2 linked regions of the Rattus norvegicus genome follow. The protein of the gene in region 2 purifies or fractionates together with the protein of the main gene of each other region. This does not show direct contact. Links are inferred from orthologs where the notes say so. Each region holds a gene or a part of one and is shown on either strand. Other genes may lie near its edges. The genes, in order: Cul5 and Spsb4.

Region 1 (9,153 bases), about 44 Mb from region 2:
GTCACCCCTATTCCTCAACTCCCACAATTCTAGTGAAGGCAAAAGTTTGAGCCTTTAGAAAGCCATGTGTTCATTCACCCAACTGTCATGTCTTGCTGCTGGTCTTCATGGTGGCTAAAATGTGCTACTCTATCCCAACACATAACAAGATGTTCTTCACTGAGGCAGTCTCCCTGTGCCTGTCCATGTTAGTCCTGAGCTGGGCCTGAACCATCCACTACCACATCTTCCCAAGCAGCTGGATGACAAGCAGCAGCCCTACCCGACGGAAACAATTTTCACTGATGTTAAAGACAGGCTAGCCCTGACTGGCCTGCAACTGGTCAGTACACCAGGCTGATCTTGAACTCAGAGATCCTCTGCCCCTGTCTCTAGAATGCTAGGATTGAAGGTACATGATACTGCCCTGGCTTGCCAAAAATTTTTAACTGTTGTAAAATTTTTATGGTAGAACATCAAGATTTTCTGGATAGATGAAATGTTTTATATTACACTTTTATTTTGCAAGAAAATAAATTATACAACTTAAAAAATAAAATCCAAAAATTAAGCAGTTCATCAAAATATTTCAGCCTACTGCATACAGAAACTGCTACCATGGAAAACTGTACAGTGTCATCTCAGTATGGAGTGGTGCACATTCAAAACTGTACAGGTCAGGACGAGAGACTACACCTCAGGAACTCCAGACCACACATAGTGTAGATGACAGGAACGCTCTCAAACAATGTTTCTCTCATAACTGTGACCTTGGGAAAACTTGTGGCAGCATCCCAGTCATTCACACAAAGACAGAAGAGCCAGCTTGAGTTTATGACAGCAAACTTTCTGTAGACTTAGCAAATATATCACCAGATTGAATTGAAAAATGTGCCCTTGCAGCAGAGCTAATGATACCAGTCAATCTAATGGAGTTTAAAAAATAAGAATGATTAACAGTTCACTTTTTTGGTGACTTTAATATTTGTGCACAGAGTAAGAGCTTTCAATGAACAGGCTGGTAAACTCAGGGATCTCCTCCAATAACTGCAAAAATTGGGAGACTTCAGAATTTAGTTGAAGATTCTTATAAAATTATTAGAATGAGGGCCTCATGTTTGTCTAACTGTACACATCGATGAGTCTATCCTTTCCACTGGGCGAATTTGTTCCGTCTCCTTACTATGGCTGTGAGATGGTGACAGGTTAGCATTTACAGACAGTGCCACCTAAGATAGAGAGAAGTACTCAAACCTCTGAGCAAGCCACATCATTCATTTAAAAATGCCTCTCTGGTGTTGAGTGGGAAGCTGGGCTTTCCCTCCCCTCACCTGTGACGTGTTTGGCCCTGCTCAGATAGCAAGAATATAAAGTCTGCAGGGAAGAGAGATCAGATAGGGAACACTGTGTCAGTGGTTCTGGACCTTCAGAAAACTCTTGCTGTGTAAGATCTGTTTCAGGATTTTTTAAAATTTTCAAATCTATTCATAAAACATTTAAAGAAAATCTCAACAATGGTATAGGCACCTTGTCAACTAAATAGTTTTGATAAACACCAAAACGTAGTTACACTTTTGTATATATATACTTTAAAAAAAGGATGAAAACTGTTAAGTCTGTGGTATTTACTGCTGCTCATTCCCCAAAATACAATTAGGACATAATTAACTATTAAAAAATTTATAAAAATTTAATAAAAAACTTTGCTATGGATTTAGTGTTACCCACTTTGCATTAAGTTTGCCTTTATAAATCAAAACATCGCAGCTCTCATTCTTAAATGACCAAAGCGATTAGAAATTTCAAAGATGTTCTAAGAAAAATTATGGTTTAAAATGACAAATCTTAAACATTAAGAAATGGCCTAAAATTTTTCCCTTGATTGTTTCTTCCTTTGGCATTCTGGTATTGGGAGAGGAAAATTTGCCAACACCAAGCTATTAAACAGAAGGGCCACAGTCGTTATAAAACTATCCCTCTGAATCTGGATGTACCATCATCCACGCGGTACGGCAGCAAGCACTGAGTTTGCTCTTCACTCCTGCTCCACATCACCTCAGAGCTGCAGGGCAGACGGGAAGCACACATGCACTCCAGCTTCCTATGAGTTTCAGAACAGATATTCGACTATAATTATCAAAACCTTAAACATCTAACATATACTTTATTTCCTTCCAGCAAGGAGCTCCCAAGCTGAGCAGCAGGCGAACCCACAGCCCACTGTGGTGATGTAATACTGTATGCTTCAACACTCCGTGTTCTACTGTATGCTTCAACACTCGTGTTCTACTGTATGCTTCTCAACACTCCATGTTCTGTCAGCTTCAGAACCAGACTTCAAAATACTACTTAACATCAAAAGTTCTAAAATTTGCAAGAAAACTTGAAACGTGCACCACAATGAGTAAAAATCCACAGGGAGCCATCTTTCCTGCTGGGGAATAATTCTCTTCAGTTGCTTGAGTCCTCAGTTTCCAACTTCCCACTGCTCTGTCTGTGAGGTCCTGAGTCACCGCTCTGGATTAACGAGAGGAGCAAGGTAGGTGTTGCCCTCTAAACATTTTAAAAATGTTTATTTTTAAAATATATAAATATATATGTACATATTTGGCAAGGTTACTGCTCACGTTAGGACTAGCAACTCTTGAGTGCTTTGCAGGTTGCAGGTCGTAATCTTACCTTTCTTCCTGCTAAGTGGCGGGTAATTATTACTTTTAAATAGAGAATGTCTTTCCAGAAAACTGAGGTGGTAAATTCCTAATCACAACACTTTCAATCACCAAATAATTCTATGCTACAGGTTAAGAAAGCAATTCTCTCACTGTACTGTATCAGAATATTTCTGCATTGTTTTCAACAAATTTAGGTACAGTATAGTAAATATTAGGTGTATAAGTATTAAGTGTATTAGTAACACACTTAACATGTTTACTTCGGGATTCTGATTTCTGTAATCAGTGATGTACCTAAACCCATAAATTTTTAACTGAAACAACATTGACTATAAACTTCATGTTTTCAAAACAAGCTCTCCAGCCATACAAAGTCTAAAAAGAAAATCCCACATCTTCATGTTTAACAACAAATGACTAAACAGCACTCTCCTGCTCAGTGAAAATCAGCATTTGTAAGGTAGAAATATTTAATACCAGTTTCCGTTACCATTAAGATCCAGTCACTAAAGTGAAAGCAGTGTTTGACAAACAGCTCAACACTGGCACACTGTCTTCTCAAGTGTGCCTGCCCTTGCCCAACAGTGTTGACAATTCACTCTGCATCAAAAGAAGCTGAGTGCTGCCTCTAGCTTTAATTGCATTAAAAAAAAAAAAAAACCCAAAAATAACAAACCAACAAAAAACCCCAGCATTTCTCAGTGCATGAGTATCTGAAAATCCTTCCTTGTGTAAGTATATTCCTTTAAAGAGGAAAGGGGGATAAAAGAAGCAAAAGGAACCCCACCCTCACCCTTCCAAAATGTTATTTCTCTGGGTGGGTAAAAATTGAATTGACTTTGAAAGTTCATAATGGGCTCTTCATGAATGCAATTTTCTCCACAAAACAGCATGCTGTTAAAGAGTGTGCAACATGAAGGGATTGCCATCATGCTGACTAATGTGACTGGCAAAATATAGTCGCTTTGTAAGGTAAGGCAGAGTTTAATATTTATGTAATCAAAGTCCAAATAAACCTTCCTCCAGCTCAGCCTGGGACAACCTTCTGCCCAGGTCTCCAGATGTGTAGCTGCGGCAGGCTGGATTCAGCTACGCCATGTATATGAAGGTGTTGATGTCGGCCTCATCCCTCCTGATGTACTTGTGCTCGATCAGCCATTCGATTTGCTCTTTTATCATTTTCTTCTGTGGTAAGAACATGTTTTTCAAAATTTCTACTAATTCAGTCTGCAGCTGAGCATTGCTAATTTTCTTCCTCATTTTCATTATTTGTATGATGGCTTCCTAAGAGGAAAAGGGAAAAGGAAAGTACATGAATACATTCAACTAGTTTGAGCAAAGCAAATCAGTAACATTTCCTATGTTATCTCCTAACACCAGCCACACTGTACGGCCCCTAGCTATTCACCTGGAGACTTAATCAGCAGCTACAATTTTTTTCCCCTTGCACTTATTACAAAGATTTTGAAAGTAAAGGAAGCCAAAATTAACCTATAATCTCTACTGTTTTATAAAAATTAATATGCATTTGAATGCTTGACTCCCTGTATGACTTTGTACCACATACATGTCTGGTGCCTGAAAAGGCGGAATAGTCATGAGCAAATCTGTGGGTGCTGTTAACATAGCTCAGTGGATAAAGGTGCTTGTTGCACCATCTTAATGCACGATGACCTGAGTTCAACCCCTAGGACCAACAAAGTGGAAAAATAGTATCAAATCTTGAAAAGTTGTGTTCTAACTTATACATACACATATGATCACACACACATACAAATAAATGCAATAAGACACAGGACTCCACCTACACAAATTTGCCTCTAATATTAGGGTGTCTCTTTGTATAACAGGAGAACCATGAATGTCTAGTCTTAAAAATCTGTAAACACCTGGGTTCGGTCCCCAGCTTCGAAAAAAAGAACCAAAAAAAAAAAAAAAAAAAATCTGTAAACACTACTCTCTATATTAACTAGACTAATAATACAGTGATAGCAATATTTACCACAGATCCTGTCTTTACTTCTATTGATTTAATTCATGTTTCTGACATTTAAATGTTTCTAAAGAAATCAACATATTCCACCTAAGTCAATTTTATCAATATGGTCTTAGTGATTTTTAAACTACATAGAAGTTGGCAATGACATTACCTGAAAACTAGACTTCCTGTAATCATTATTAAAGTTTAGCTTCCCTTAGGCAACAAGGTGGCTCAGTGGATACTACAATTTTGTATAAAGGAAATAGAAGAGATGCAGTTGGTTCTCTGTATCTGTGTGCTCCACACTACAGACTGACTGAGCAGCAGAATCATGAGCTGATTATGGTGGCCTTTAATCCCAGTCAGATCTGAGTCCACAGAGTGAGTTCCAGGACAACCTGGGCTACACAGAGAAACCCTGTCTCAAAAACGAAACCAAACCAACAAAACAACCAACCACAAAAATGTAATTAGGCTTATGAGAGCTGCGTCTGTATTAAGCACACAAACTTAAACCACAGAGCATGGGGACTAGTCACACAGCACTTATACTGTATTAGGTGCTATGATGACCTAGAGATTACTTAAATATATGGTATAAAATATGTAGGGGCGTATTCAGGCACTACACATTCTATACAAGAACTGTGAGCACTGAGATTCTGGGACGTGCAGGAAACCCTTGGACTTTTTCCTGTGGACAACGTATTAACACCTGACAGCAACAATGCAAACACACTCGGGAACCCGCAGGTTCAGCAGGGTAAAATCCCTTCCACTTTTCAGCTCTCCTGTACAGGCATGACAGTCTGTCATTGATACTACATGATCTGCGATGCATCCAGTTACAAGCTTTCATACATTGTTTTTACAAGACGCTTTTAACTGTTATCATTGCACATCATTACATGTTACATGTTTACAAGCACACGCCAGAGCAGGAGTGTGGAAGTCAGAAGGCTTTCTAACAGCAGCTCTCTCTCCATCTGGTGGTTGGCTGGTTGGTATTCTTGAGGCAGGGTTTGTTTCTCTGTGTGGCCCTGGCTGTCGTGGAATTCACTCTATACATCTGTAAATGGCCTTCTGGGATTAAACTAAGATCACCAGGTTTCTGTTACCTGATGAGTCAGTCATCTTGTCCAATGATACCAGGCTTTTGATCAGATTATAAATAGGGCTTTATGTCAAAAATATAAAGGAAAACAAAAACAGTAAGTCTGTCCATCTAGGAATGTGAAGATTGTAGGACCATGAAAACTTTTAATCTTTCTTCGTGCTTCAAACTGTATGGCATTCACCAAAATTTCAAATAATACTAAATAAAAACTGTAAAAGTACAACCAAAAAAGCAGCCCTGTTAAAAGACTTTTTTTCTTTAATTAAAATAACCATCAGTTTGCAATTCATTAGAAGTTTTAAGAACTTGTTTGTTGTGTACACATGCACATGTGCCCATAGGAGAGCGCCTCTCGCTCTCTTCTACATGCGAAGGTTGGAAGACAACTGTGGACTTGAGTCGGTTTCTTCCTTACATCAAGTGAACTGCTGGGACTGAACTCAGGTTGTCAATTACACCACCTACCGCACGATCTCGCCAGCTCTGTTTCCCTGTATGTTGTATTCATTTCCGGGTAGTGGAGACGAGGAGAACGACCTCGCTAAGGAGCCTCTCTCCTTCTGACAGCGCAAGCTGTCAGCTTGCTGTCAAATATCTACGAACTGAGCCACCTTACCTTTCTAGTAATAAATATTTTTACCATGTTCAGAAGCCATCATAATCCTAATTTTAACACATTTTTCAAAGGAAAATATACCAGATAATGTTTCTTAGTTCTAAATAAAAAACATTTCCTAAGGGCACATTACATTTCAGAATTCAATATAGTTTTAAATACTTCAGTTCTGCAAGTTCTCAGCTGTGGCTGAGATACATGTACTCAGTAGGGTATCAAAAAGAGACATAAATAAAAACCAAGGTTTTATCCAAACAATACATCAGAACTTATTACAAACCTCCAATCCAAAAGAGCATTTCTGGTAGCAGAGAGAATTAACTAATTTAATTTTTAATTACTAATAAAATGAGCATTAGCTCTTATTTATGAATAAATGACTTTCGTGTTTTTTATCCACTGTTGGAAGGGTTTTGTTTGGTGTTTTGGAGGCAGGCTCTCCCTAGACAGCTCTGGCTGCCCCGAATCCTCTATAGGTCAGGCCTTAAACTCAGAGATCAGTCTGCCTCAAATTCCACAGAGTGAGGTTAAAAGAATATGTCATGGGCTGGAGAGATGGCTCAGAGGTTAAGAGCACCGACTGCTCTTCCAGAGGTCCTGAGTTCAATTCCCAGCAACCACATGGTGGCTCACAACCATATGTAATGGGATCTGATGCCCTCTTCTGGTGTATCTGAAGAGAGCTACAGTGTACTTGTATATGATAAATAAATAAATCTTTAAAAAAAGAAAATGTCACTATGCCCCATTCTGAATACTCGTTTTTTTTGTTTTTGTCTTTTTAAAGAAGCTTGAAAATTTTGGTCATTCTTTTTTTCCCCCCTACGTGGAGAAGTTTAATGAGAGAAGAGGAGAGGAGAGGAGAGGAAAGGTTGGCCATGGGACACGTGGAGGGAAGGGGGTGGGGGGTGGAGAGAGAAGGGACAGGAATAGAGGGGAAGAGAGCAGAGAAGCAAAGAACAAAGAACAAGAGAGAAAATTTGGTGGATGCTTCACTCCTTTAAAAGGGGAGCAAAAATATCCATAGGAGGGAATAGGGAGGCAAAGTTTAGAGCAGAGACAGAAGGAACAGCCATTCAGAGCCTGCCCCAAATGTGGCCCATACATATACAGTCACCACACTAGATAAGATGGATGAAGCAAAGAAGTGCATGCTGACAGGAACCAGATATAGATGTCTCCTGAGAACATGACAGCCAGAACATGTCAAATACAGAGGCGAATGCTAGCAGCAAACCACTGAACTGAGAATGGGATCCCTGTTGGAGGAGTTAGAAAAAGGACTGAAAGAGCTGAAGGGGCTTAAGACCCCATATGAACAACAATGCCAACCAACCAGAGCTTCCAGGGACTAAACCACTACCGAAAGAGTATACCTGGACTGACCCATGGCTCCAACTGCATATGTAGCAGAGAATAGCCTAGTAAGGGCACCAGTGGAAGGGGAAGCCCTTGATCCAGGCAAGGTTGGACCCCCAGTGTAGGGGAATGTCAGGGGGGAGGGCAGTAAGGGGGGGTGAATAAGGAGGGGAACACTCATATAGAAGGGAAAGGGGAGGGGTTGGGGGCTGAAGGACAGGAAACCGGGAAAGGGAATTAACACTGGAAATACCCAATGTAATAAAAATTGAAAAAAAAAGAGGGAAGTTGAACATTTTTTCTCCCTATACCAACCTGGGTTCTTAATATTCTTAGTTGAACTATTCCTTCATTTTCTTCTTCTCTCATCCGTTCTGTAGTGAGCTGCAAGCGTCCAATCAAATTGATTTTTCCCCTTTTCTGTACTTTTGCATTTTTTCTACAAAAAAAATCAAAAATGTTAAACATTTACTGCAGCACAATGTCTGAAGTTTTAGAAGCATCGTTAGACATTATCACTCAGAACTGTAGGAAAGTGAAGTGATAGCATGCAGCTTTACTCTGAGCAGTCCCTATGCCTATCACGGTGGCCCTGGTCTACAGTCACCTGCAATCCTAGTGAGGGAAGCTGCCCAGAAGGATCTTGATTGCTTTGAGGCTAGGCTATCTGTTGCAAACAAAATTTTTTTAAAAAAATGTGATCCTTCAAACAAGACCTAGCCTCTGATGACTAGGGACCAGATCCCTCAAAACATTAATTTCACTGCCACGAGAATAATAATTAAAGCAAAAGCAAAAAGGTTTTATACAGCATTATCTGATTGAATCTTCAGATAAACAGCTCTGCCTACATAAAGCTGTTTTACCCACTCCCTCTCTCTTTTGGTCTTTACTTTCAATTAAAAAATAAAATGGCATGTCTCCATCTGTGCCTAGAGCTGGGGCTGTCTCACAGCCCTCAGACCCAAAACCAGCCCAGAGACACCTGGTCTGCCATGAGCGCTTGCACTCCTATGCCCACAGGTGGGACTCCACTTTCTTTTCTACTAGCTATCCACAGAGAGACTCACCGGGAGCAAACAGGACATGGGAGCAACGGGGCGGCCTGCCATAGGACCCTTCTGGTCTTCATCTGTGCCCAGAGATAAGGCTGTCCCATAGCCCTCCACACCCAAAAATGCCCAAAGACAGCTGGTCTCCATGGAGTGCTCTCACTCCTAAGATTACAGACTCACATGCTCAAAGGCTCACAGGCCCACAGGAAGGACAAGCTCCAGTTAACAGCAGAGATAACCAGATAGCAAGAGGCAAGCACAGAAAACCCAAGCAACAGAAACCGAGACTACCTGGCATCATCACAAACCAGCTCTCCCACCACAGCAAACACTGAATATCCCAACACACCAGCATAAAGAAGCCTACAGAACTC
Region 2 (10,487 bases):
AAGAGTTGGCAGGTGTCAAACCTAGTGTTGGGGAGAATGAGCTGGACACACTTCAGGGGTTCTGCGGCTGATTATGTCCTGCCCCAGGGCCAGATGGAAAGAGGTAAAATAAGAGGTGAATGGGCAGACCCAGACCCCACTAAGAAGTGTAAAAACCACCCAGTGAGTCATGGTAGTAGCCTTGAAGGATGTGTCGGATTAGTTTTCTTTTTCTGAAGACCTTCCAGACATCTGGTAGAGATGATGGCACCCAGGCTGACGAGAACAAGATCTAAATGTTGACACCCCCTCTCAGCCCGCCCTGAGTCATACTGTGCTGTAGGTCAGGTTGTGCAGTCTATTCCTGTTGAAGACAGGCAGCCCCAAATGCCCTTTCTCCTACCCTGCCACAAACCTCCTTCCAGCAAACTCTGCACTCTAAAATGCCACAGGACTCACGGATTTTCCTCAGCTGCCATAAAACCATGCTAAGTGCTTCTGCAAGACCAAGGAAACCATGTTGAATGTGTGATACCAAGGAAGACTCCAGAGTTTGACAGCTGACACCTAGGCAGTAGACAGCAAACCAAGACCTGAAGAAGCAGAGGCTGAAGAAGGCCAGTTCATGGTTCTCATGTGTCCACTTATCGCACTGTGCTGCATAAATCTGTGTGGATGAAACACCTAAAAGAGAGATTTAGACACAATCTTAAAGACCTTTGTGATGGTTTGTATATGCTTGGCCCGGGGAGTGGCACGATTAGGAGGTGCGACCTGGTTGGAGTAGATGTATCACTGTGGGTATGGGGTTAAGATCCTCACCGTAGCTGCTTGGAAGTCAGTCTTCCACTAGCAGCCTTCAAATGAAGATGAAGAACTCTCAGCTCCTCCTGTACCATGACTGCCTGGATGCTTCCTTGTTCAAGCCTTGATGATACTGGACTGAACCTCTGAACCTGTAAGCCAGCCCCAATTAAATGTTGCCCTTTATAAGACTTGCCTTGGTCATGGTGTCTGTTCACAGCAGTAAAACCCTAACTAAGACAACCTTCTACTTCAGGCATGAATCTTCCTTATTCCAAAATTCTAATGTTGTAGATTTTGGTCTCCTGATAAGCAGCATAAGAAAAAGACCGAATATCAACTTTGTGATATGCTACGACATAAAAACCACTCTCAGAAGAATATATTCTTTCCCATTGTGGTGGTTTGATTGAAAATGGTCCCAATAGGTTCATAGGGAGTGGCACTATTAGGAGATAAGGCCTTGTTGGAGTAGGTGTGGCTTTGTTGGAGGAAGTGGATTGCTAAGGGGTGGGCTTTGAGGTCTCAGATGCTCAAGCCAGGTCTAGTGTGCCGTTCACCTCCCACTGTCTGCTGATCTGCATGTAGCTGTCTCTCCAAATCATGTGGACCTGCATGTTGCCATGTTTCCCGCCATGACAATAATGGACTGAACTGTAAGCAAGCTGTAGTTAAATATTTCCCTTGATAAGAGTTGTTCTAGCATGGCATCTCTTCATAGTAATAGACATCAAATTAAGACACCCTGTTTTTCAAATGAGGAGGCTAAAAGCACACATGTCTAAACTGAGATTTTTAAACCTATAGCCAAGCAACAGCTATATGTCCATAAAATAGTGTGTGTTCTTTGGAGTGAGACCATACTGAGTTTATCAAGGATTTACTTTAGATCCACTCCTTGGCAGTTAAGAATATCTTGTATTAGTTATATGATGCTGATTAGCAAACAATCCCAAGATTCATAATTGTTTTCTCAGCATTTCCAGTCAAGAATCAGTGTGGCTTAGTTTGTGCCTCTGATTCAGTTGTCTTGAGTATAGTCAAGGCACCGAAAGGACCTCAGCCAGATAGGAAGGCTCAGTCAAGGAGGGATGTGCTACCTAGTTCAGTCCCATGGTGGCAGACCTCAGTCCCTCACCAAGTTTCCCCACACTACCTGGCTTCCTTTGTGGGGGCAAAAGCCAAAAGAGCAAAAGAGATGACATGTGCCCAGAGTTGCTGGCCTTTTCCTTATCCAATCGCAGAAGGAACAGCGTGTCTGTCCTACCGTGTTCTATTTGTGAACATCGAGACAGGGAGTCCAGCCTGCACTTCAGTGAAAGGAAGTCAGAATGTGGCAATCCAGGGACAAGGGTTATCAGAGATCAGTTTATAGGCTTCCAACTTCAGTTTAAAGATCAGGTTATCCAGGCTATTCCTCAAGTGGCAATTGTTTCTTCCTGTGTGGTTGTTTCCTCTGAATTGAAACATGCTCTCAGAGCGGGAGGAGAGAGGTTTACTAAGACTTTTTATTTTTTTAAACTAATACTCAGGAAGCTAATAAAACATAGAAGGCTTTCATAGAAGCTCATGAAAGTTACAAGATTCACAAGGCTCCTTCTCAAGCTTGTAAAAGCTGGGGTGTGGCGACTCCTCTGATTGCTAGCTGTGCAGGCACACAGATCAACTTGCCGTCCATGCTGGGGTGGGCTTTTTAGTGATGACTTTGTGCCTCCGACGCCAGTAAGTAACACCAATACATTTACTGGATCACCAAAGTAGGCTTGGGTGGGATAATTTCCCTGATCTGCCGTGGATACCTTATCTGGAATGAACAGACATTTGTCCACATTTCAAACATGGAGACATATCACACGCTATTCAGGGGGTGGAGGACTTGGGGAACTTTAGTGATACTTAGGGGTACTGTTGTACACATTTCTTGATACCTAAGGCAAGTCACATTTGTAAAGGCCTGTGGAGTGAACCTATCTGGCACACAGGTGTGTGTTTGGGGAAGTAGTTTCTCAAATTGTTGCGCCTGATCCTTCCTTGCCTTGTTCTTAAGCTATTGTGAGGTCCTTCCAGAAAGAAAGAAGAAATGCCCGTTGGCAGTTGTATTGGGATCCAGGTGGAGAAACCATCAGCTGCAGAGTCTTGGGTATTTATTTTAAGGTTTATTTTAAGTGTATGAGTGTTTTGCCTGCATGAATGTACGTGCACCATATACATGTCCGGGGCCAATGGACGTCAGAAGAAGGAGTCTGATCCCCTGGAACTGATTGATATTCTGGATAACTGTGAACTACCATGTGAGTGCTGGGAACTGAACCCTGGTCCTCTGCAGGAGCAGAAAGTACTGTTTGTTTGTTTGTTTGTTTGTTTGTTTGTTTGTTTGAGACAGGTTTTCTCTGGGTAGCCACGGCTGTATTGGAACTCACTCTGTAGACTAGGCTGGCCTTGAACTCAGAGATCTGACTGCCACTGCCTTCTGAGGGCTGGGGTTTAAAGGCGTGCATCACCACTACCCAGTTGAACTGAAAGTACTCTTAACCATCTGAGTCACCTCTCCAGTCCTTGCAAAGTCTTGCTTAAGTTCCCCTTTGCTCTGAGTTTTCCTCCGTCCTCATTTCTTGCTGTCCAGCTCTGTCAGCACCACAGCCGAGGTCAGAGCACGTACTCCAGAAGCGTCCTGAGGAGGGAGGGGACTCGAGGGGAACAAGGAAATATGTGCATGGGTCACATCACATTCTTTTAACTGTGCAGTCCCAAGGACAGAGACACACAGGTACAAAGAGACAGACATGCAGACACAGATGAAGTAGCACAAATCGCGAGCGCTGTAAATACTTGCTCAGGATACCCCTTTGCCACACCACTGAGCTGTCCTAATTGGCAAAGCATCGTTTACGTCTTGGACTTCTGAGGCAGCTTCCAAGCTGTCCTGTGCTATTCATCCATCTATCCACACCGCCACCGGATTATCTTTCTGGACAGCAAATCTGTGAAGGTCAAGAGGCCTGCCAAACTGATCTTGGGGAAAAGCCAAGCCTTTGGAGGCTCTCCAAGACCCTAAGTACCCACTCTCGTTTCATCTTACCTCTTGTTTTGACTCCAGTCGTACCACAGGCTGTTACCATGAGACTATGATGCCTCTGCGTCTAGCAGCTACTTCATGCAGACACTTCCAAATCGCCCTCCACAGTCTGGGAGAGGAACTCCGGAACCTGGGTCAACACATTTCCCTCACAGGGTTGAATTACAGGTGCTTGTCTTCTGTGTCCATGAAAAAAAAAAAGGACATTTTCTGAGAAGTGAGGTCAGTTAAGACTATGGAATGGACCTAATGTCAACTCTGGCATCGAAAGCAAGATGCACTGACCTGGAAACTTCGTTTTCCCCAAGGAAGCCTAAGTGGAGAGATACAGAGCATCCCTCGCTCTGGCCACACCCTCTTATCTCTATGTTCTGGCTAACGAGGGAGCCGCCCACCATCAGCGCCAGTAGCCCTCTGAGCAATGAATCTTCTCTCTGGCCTCAGGTGGGCGGGGAAAGGCACTGTGGAGCAGGTGCTGCGTGAAATTGGATTCTGAAAGATGAGTTGGAGTCTGGTCTCAGAAATAAAGTGCGGACATGTGTGTGCCTAAGGCAAGGGGTTATATTAAAGCATTCTCTTTCCCAGTCGCTGTTTCCCGCAGGCCTTGAATACAGGCACCAAAGCTATCTGGCAACCGTGATGTCTGCTCTCTTCATCCCCGCCCCCAGGGACACCCACCATGGCTCTCCAGGCACGCTTGAATGAATGGGGGAGGACCCGTGCGCATGAATGAGCGCGTGTGTGAGCGAGTGTCTAGGCCAGCCAGCCGGCAGATGAGTGAATGGCGTCCGCGCCACTTCGGCCCAGGGGCCCGGGCGCGGGTTCCACTTCCCTTTCCCGCCAGCTGGTGGCCTCCTGAAGGTGGCAGAGCCGAGAGCCGCCCGAGCTGGGACGGCCCGGGCGCGGGATGGTGGGGGAAGGGGCGTTCCCGGCGGCCGCGCCTTCCGCGGCTATTGGATTAGTGGCCTTCAGGGATGAGCTCAGCCGGATCGGCTTTCAGCTGCAGCCTCCGGGCCGGCCGGGAAGGCGGGGAGCGAGCGGCCGTGTAGGAGGTGGGGGAGGCGGCGGCTGCAGCATCCAGAGCTGGCCCTGGCGGTCGGCGCGCCCCGCGCACAAAGGCGCCCAGCCCCTGGGGAAGGCAATGAGCGCACAGCAGCCCGGGCCCTGGCCACCGCTGCAGCCCTCCAGGCGTGTGCTCGGTGCTCTGGGGAAGAAACCGGGTGCTCCGGGGACGAGCGGCCGAGGTGAGGCCCGAGTGCCCTGAGTGCGAGATTCGTCGCCCTCCAGGTCAGGCGCCAAGCTTTAGGGCCACCAGGGCAAGGGCTTCCGCGCCCCTCTGAGATCAGCGTAGTCGGGCACTTCACCACTCGGGACTGGACCTCGGCGGCCACTCGCCTCTCCTGAGCGTCAACTTCTCCAAGAACGTCCCTAACTCCAGGGCACCCTGCGGAGAGAGAGGGCGCTGCCGCCGGGTACAACTGAGAGGACGCGTCGCTGACTGAGAAGCAGCAGCCAGCATCCGCGGGGTCGCTCGGGCGCCCCTGAGTGGGCGGCAGTGGCAGCAGACCTCTCTCCCGGGAGTCCCGGACCTGCCAGCGCTGGGGATTCCTCCCAGGCGGGCGCTCGTCTTCTCTTTTATGGTAAGTGCTCTCCAGCTCCTGCTAAGGGGTGATCACACGCCGGTACGGGTCACACCGGTGCTCTTGGGGACTCAATGGTCCGGGTCGGTGGAAATGTCTCCGCGAATTGTGGCAATCCTAGCTGGTTGGTTTGCGCCTAGCTTCGGGCGTTGCACTGAGCCCAGCCTCTGGTACTGTAGGTTTGAAATCGCTGCTCTCGGTGTAGTGGAGACCACACACACACACACACACACACACACACACACACACACACACTGAGCGCAGACTCACCGGATTATGTTCCGGTCGTACATCCGTCACTCTCCGGGGTGACCTTAGGCCAGGCACCGCAACCTCGGTTTCCTCATCCGTAGGATGGGGATGATAATTGAATCCTTTATACTAGAGTGTTGGAGGGAACTGCTGGGTTGGTGCGGAGACCTGCGCCTGGCATTCAGAAAGCACTTAGGCACTAACTAGCGTTAATCTTAGCTTTTTGAGTCTAAGCACATCACCCAGTTTCCCAGAGCTGCCTCATCTGTGTGGCGAGGACAGTAATTTCTAGGGGTCTGCTGGTCTGTGGCTTTTGGAGCGTTGGGAGTAAAGCGCCGAGCAATCAGCAGGCGCTGGTGATGATTGTTATGGTTCACCTCCGACGCTGGAGTAGGGAAGACTGATTGCCCAGTCCGGGAGCCGCTCGCGGACGGTCCCCAGCCTGGCTGCGGGACAAACTTGGAAAGAATGGGTGGCTCAGGGGCTCTGGGAAACAGGAAGGAAGCCAAAGCCCTAAGTGCGGCAAATAAGTCCACTTCTGTTGAGCCGGGAAAAACAAGGGACCCCAAACCCCTGGCTGGAAAGGCCCAGGAAGTGTGATTCCCACCGCCCGGTGGCCAAGCGAGGGCTGCTGAGTCAAGAAGAGAGAAGAGGGCACGTTTGTGTGGCTCTCTCTCTGGAACTTTCAGTCCTGCAGTTCCGGGCTTGGATTCGAATTCGGCTTTCAGCACTATCCCGCGGTGTGACCTTGAGCAGTTCTTCTAAGGTCTGCTGCTCTTCTGTGCTTCCCCTCCCCCTCCCCCTTCTTCCCCCTCTCCTCGCTCCTCTCCCTCCCCCTACTCCGCGATTTGGGTGTGAACGCCTCTTATCCTTCCATTCATCTGTCTCAAACAGTTTAGAGTCTATCTAGATCTAGAAGAGATGCCACGGATTATGGGAAGGTTCACTCTCCCACTGTGCCCTGTGGAAAGCGACTAGCGCCTGAGGCTTCAGATCTGTTTCCTCGCTTTGACACCTCGGTCTTTAAACTACAAGTTTCTATTACTCAGGATGATGGAGGATCCTTCAAACTCTCCCCTCCGCTAGCTCTCCCAAACCATTCAATATTGGTTTAGGGTTTATTGGTTTAAACCCTCCTTGTAGAACAGCAAAATGTCACAAGTGTGGTATAGACATCCTTTACACGGGCAGCCGCAGTTTTTGAGACACACGCACGCACACACCCTGATTCCATGTTTCAGATTTCCACAGCAAAGGTGGTAAAGAGAATTTAAGCCACTTTTGGCAAGCTGCGACCAAAATAGACTCACCAGCCATGCCATGCAAATATCTCTTCAGTTTTCATTTCTCTTCGATTTTAAAGAATCAGTGCCATAGCAATACAATCTGCAAGGAAAAAAAAAACTTGCCAGAAGCAGTCAGGTAAATCTGGGGGGGGATGCTGCCATGGTTTCATAGCTTCCAATTTGGAACAGATTGGGGGGGGGGGTGCCGGGAGTGGAACCCAGGACTTTGTGCATGCTAGACAGGCACTCCACCCCCGAGCTCTAGCCTCAGTCTAAACTGTGTAAAGAATCAAGACAAGGAGGAGCCCCTAAGGACAAAGACTACAGACAATTCACACAGAGAGAGTGGAACAGAGATAACACGAAAACCTAGTGCCTTACCACACTCAATAAGAAAAATGTGTGTTGAAGCCGTAAGTAAGATTCCATTTTTCAGACATCAGATCAGCAATAGTAATAGCCAGTTCACCAGCAAGGAGCGCTTATCCTCAAAACTGTAAATAGACCAAATTCCTCTCTAGCTAGAACTTCCTCAAGACCTCTAGGAGTAAAGGCAGGGTATGCCCTCTAGGCCTGGCTACCACCGATACCATCTTCTCTGTCACTTTTCCCTTCCCCACCCCTGAAACCCTGGCCTAAGATCTTGGTTTTGCTCCAACACTCCAGGGCTTGTTCCTTTCCTGATTTCCACTCCTACCCCCAGTTGGTTATAGGACGGCAGCCTTGTCATCCTTCAGGGATGTCCCAGGATGTGGCTAGGCTCAGGCCCCAGGCAAGGTCTTTGCCCTTTGAGGGAAAGGCCCAGTGCAGCACCCCATGCCCCGGTTTGTTAATTTTTTGCTAAGCCAACTGGCTCACTGCCACACATCGGTGCTCCTGAGAGGGCCCTCCTCTGTTGGCACGGTAACAAAAGATCTCCAGGAGCTCCCTAGATAGAACAAGAAACTGGATGTGGAAAATCAGGAGGTTCGAGGGACTTAGCTGGCTAGGTCCATTAGAAGTCTTTCCTGGTAATCATTTTTTTTTAAAGTACTTATGTGTGCACTTAACTTGTGTGAACACGATCACTCATACTTGGCAAAAAGATCAATAAGAAAAAATTAAAAATCTAGCAGCGCATTTAAATAAAACATGGCCCCTCCGTGAGGGGCTGGCTTTCTTTCCTGCTGCTGCTCAGACAGACCCAGGGATCTGCTCAGAAGCTGCAGAACGCAGCAGTGTGGCCCATCCTTTGGGAAAGACCCCAGCTGAGCCGTCGTAAACTTTGTGGAGTGTTGATTGCTCAGGATTCTTGCTTCACACGTTGAATTTGGAACTTAATCCATGCTTCAAATGTGCACTTCAGTTGTGGGGGGAAAAAAAACACTTGATGGTAAAAACACAAATTATTCAGTCCAACAAGCATTTTTTTTTTGAGATGGCTCTCAACTTGCAGCCCATGCTGAACTAGAACTCACAGTGTAGCCCAGGCTGGCCCTAAACTCTGAATCCTCCAGGCCCTCTTCCCAAGTGTTAGGATTGGAGTACCTGGTTCTGGCAAATACCTTGCTGCAGACAGGTAGTGTGTACATGGCTTAGAAGATGGGGGCAATTAGCTGGGCACTGGCTCGCCTTCTAGGAATAGCACATGATGCAGGGGGTGTCAGCGGGACTAGACGTTTAGGATAACATCTTGGGATGGAGAGATGGAGGAGGATGCTGTGGTGGGCACAGGAGTGAGGGAATGTAGGCAGTGAAGGTCAGCAGGTTCCAGATGCTTGTGGTAGGAAGCGGTACGCTGACTTGAGAGTTTGGCATCCTGGTTAGAGAAAGGCTACAAGGAGAGGTTGACTGTGACACCCTTGGGTGTCAGCTCAAAGGGTGCATGCTTGAATGAGCAGGTGACAGGCGGCTTGATGGGGTTTAGCCTTTTGGTGGCAAGGCGGGGTGGGTTAGAGAATCACAGGCCCTCACTCAGAGCCTGCTTTAGTAATCCTGTCAGGTAGTGGTTCTCAACCTTCCTAATTCTGCTTTAGGATCTTAAATACAGCTCCTCGTATTGTGGTGACTTCCAACCATACAGTTATTTGAGTTGCTACCTCATTACTGTAATTTTTCGACTGTTATGAATCATAATGATATCTGATAGGAAGGATTGAGAGGTCATGATGCACAGGTTGAGAACCACCGTGCTAAGGTGTAAACCGAGAGGAAGTAAAAAAGTTATTGGTTCGGAGCCATAGATGGGAACCTGGGTTATGGGCAATGGAAGAAGCAGAGCCCATCCCCAAGACACACGATTCTCAAGTTCTAGTGGACCCCAGATGTGCCAATGTGCAGCACTGAGAAGGTAGACAAGAGCTCAGGAGGAAGCTCAGGATGGAAAGGAAACACTACAAAGTCATTTAAGGAGCATCTAGAGTGACCAGAGTCTACTTGAGGGAGGGCAGGCCGGACTGGAGACGTCCTTAGAGCGCTGGAAGGGCAAATTTTAAGAAAGGATACACAGAGAGGAAGAGGCAGAGCCCAGGCAGAGCTGCCTTGTGGGGCTGTACTTGTAGTGCCGGCAGGAAAGTTGGTGTAGACACTCCACTTCCCGAGTGCAGAGTGGCGCCCGCAGCGTCTATCTGGGTTGTGATCTGGAGAACTGAGTTTATGGTGAGCCACAATCTCTGCCTTTTCCAGACATGAGTGAGCTTGGCCCAGTTCGCTGGCCTATAAAGACATCCCACTGTGAGCCACGGTCTGTAAATGAGGGAGTGATTGAGCCCTCAGGATGAAAACACTTCTCCTCGAATGTGGGGCCCCCTCCCCACTCTGCCTGCATCTTCCTTTCTTCTCTTCCCTCTTTCCAAATCTAGTATTCAACACACACCCGCAAAGATGCCTCAAGTTTACCAGAGGTGTTCATGAGTCCCCATTGCAGTCCTCTGGATTAGCCATGTGCTTTTCTTCCAGGAAACCTGTTTTCAAACAAGCCGTTACATCCAGGGAGTTACACTCATCTTGGGAGATAAAGGACAGATTGGACATGCAGACTAGTGGGTTCTTTTAGTAGACATTTTCTTCGAGGGTCTCACTGGCAGTACCCTCCTCAGATTGTTTTGCCATACTTTTTTGCCTCAGCTTGAACCAATGCTGGGCCTCACAGGGGACAGCTATCCTACAAAGAAACAAGCCACAGGCACCTGGGGCAACCACACCTTGACCAGGACTGCTCCTTGCCCCACTGGATCTCTGCTATGTCTCTTTCAAATGACCTTGGAGAGCATGCAGGCCTGGTTACCACCCAGCAAGCCTCCTCCCTCCCAGCTCCTGTTCTTGCTGGCTGACAGCTGAGCTTTTATCCCAGGAGCCTTGGACTCTGTGTGGGAGGAGGATTCCCATGGAAACCCCAGGAGGAGACAAGGCCGGGGAAGCCTCATTGATTGAGCTCTAGGAAGATGGGACCGGCAGGAGGCAGGAGTGGGC

The links.
Region 1: the proteins of Spsb4 (region 2) and Cul5 purify together in Homo sapiens (co-immunoprecipitation; 4 studies listed by BioGRID and IntAct, counting the BioPlex papers as one, with this or other methods). This does not show direct contact. The link is inferred for Rattus norvegicus from reciprocal best matches to the Homo sapiens genes SPSB4 and CUL5.

The regions. Positions count from the first base shown.
Region 1 is NC_086026.1:62,908,671-62,917,823, forward strand, and holds the end of Cul5 (cullin-5), read right to left. Parts: intron 8,164-9,153; coding exon 8,040-8,163; intron 3,936-8,039; coding exon 3,741-3,935; 3' UTR 3,523-3,740; downstream 1-3,522. UniProt on the Homo sapiens protein: Core component of multiple cullin-5-RING E3 ubiquitin-protein ligase complexes (ECS complexes, also named CRL5 complexes), which mediate the ubiquitination and subsequent proteasomal degradation of target proteins.
Region 2 is NC_086026.1:106,483,729-106,494,215, reverse strand, and holds the start of Spsb4 (SPRY domain-containing SOCS box protein 4), read left to right. Parts: upstream 1-4,944; 5' UTR 4,945-5,499; intron 5,500-10,487. UniProt on the Homo sapiens protein: Substrate recognition component of a SCF-like ECS (Elongin BC-CUL2/5-SOCS-box protein) E3 ubiquitin-protein ligase complex which mediates the ubiquitination and subsequent proteasomal degradation of target proteins.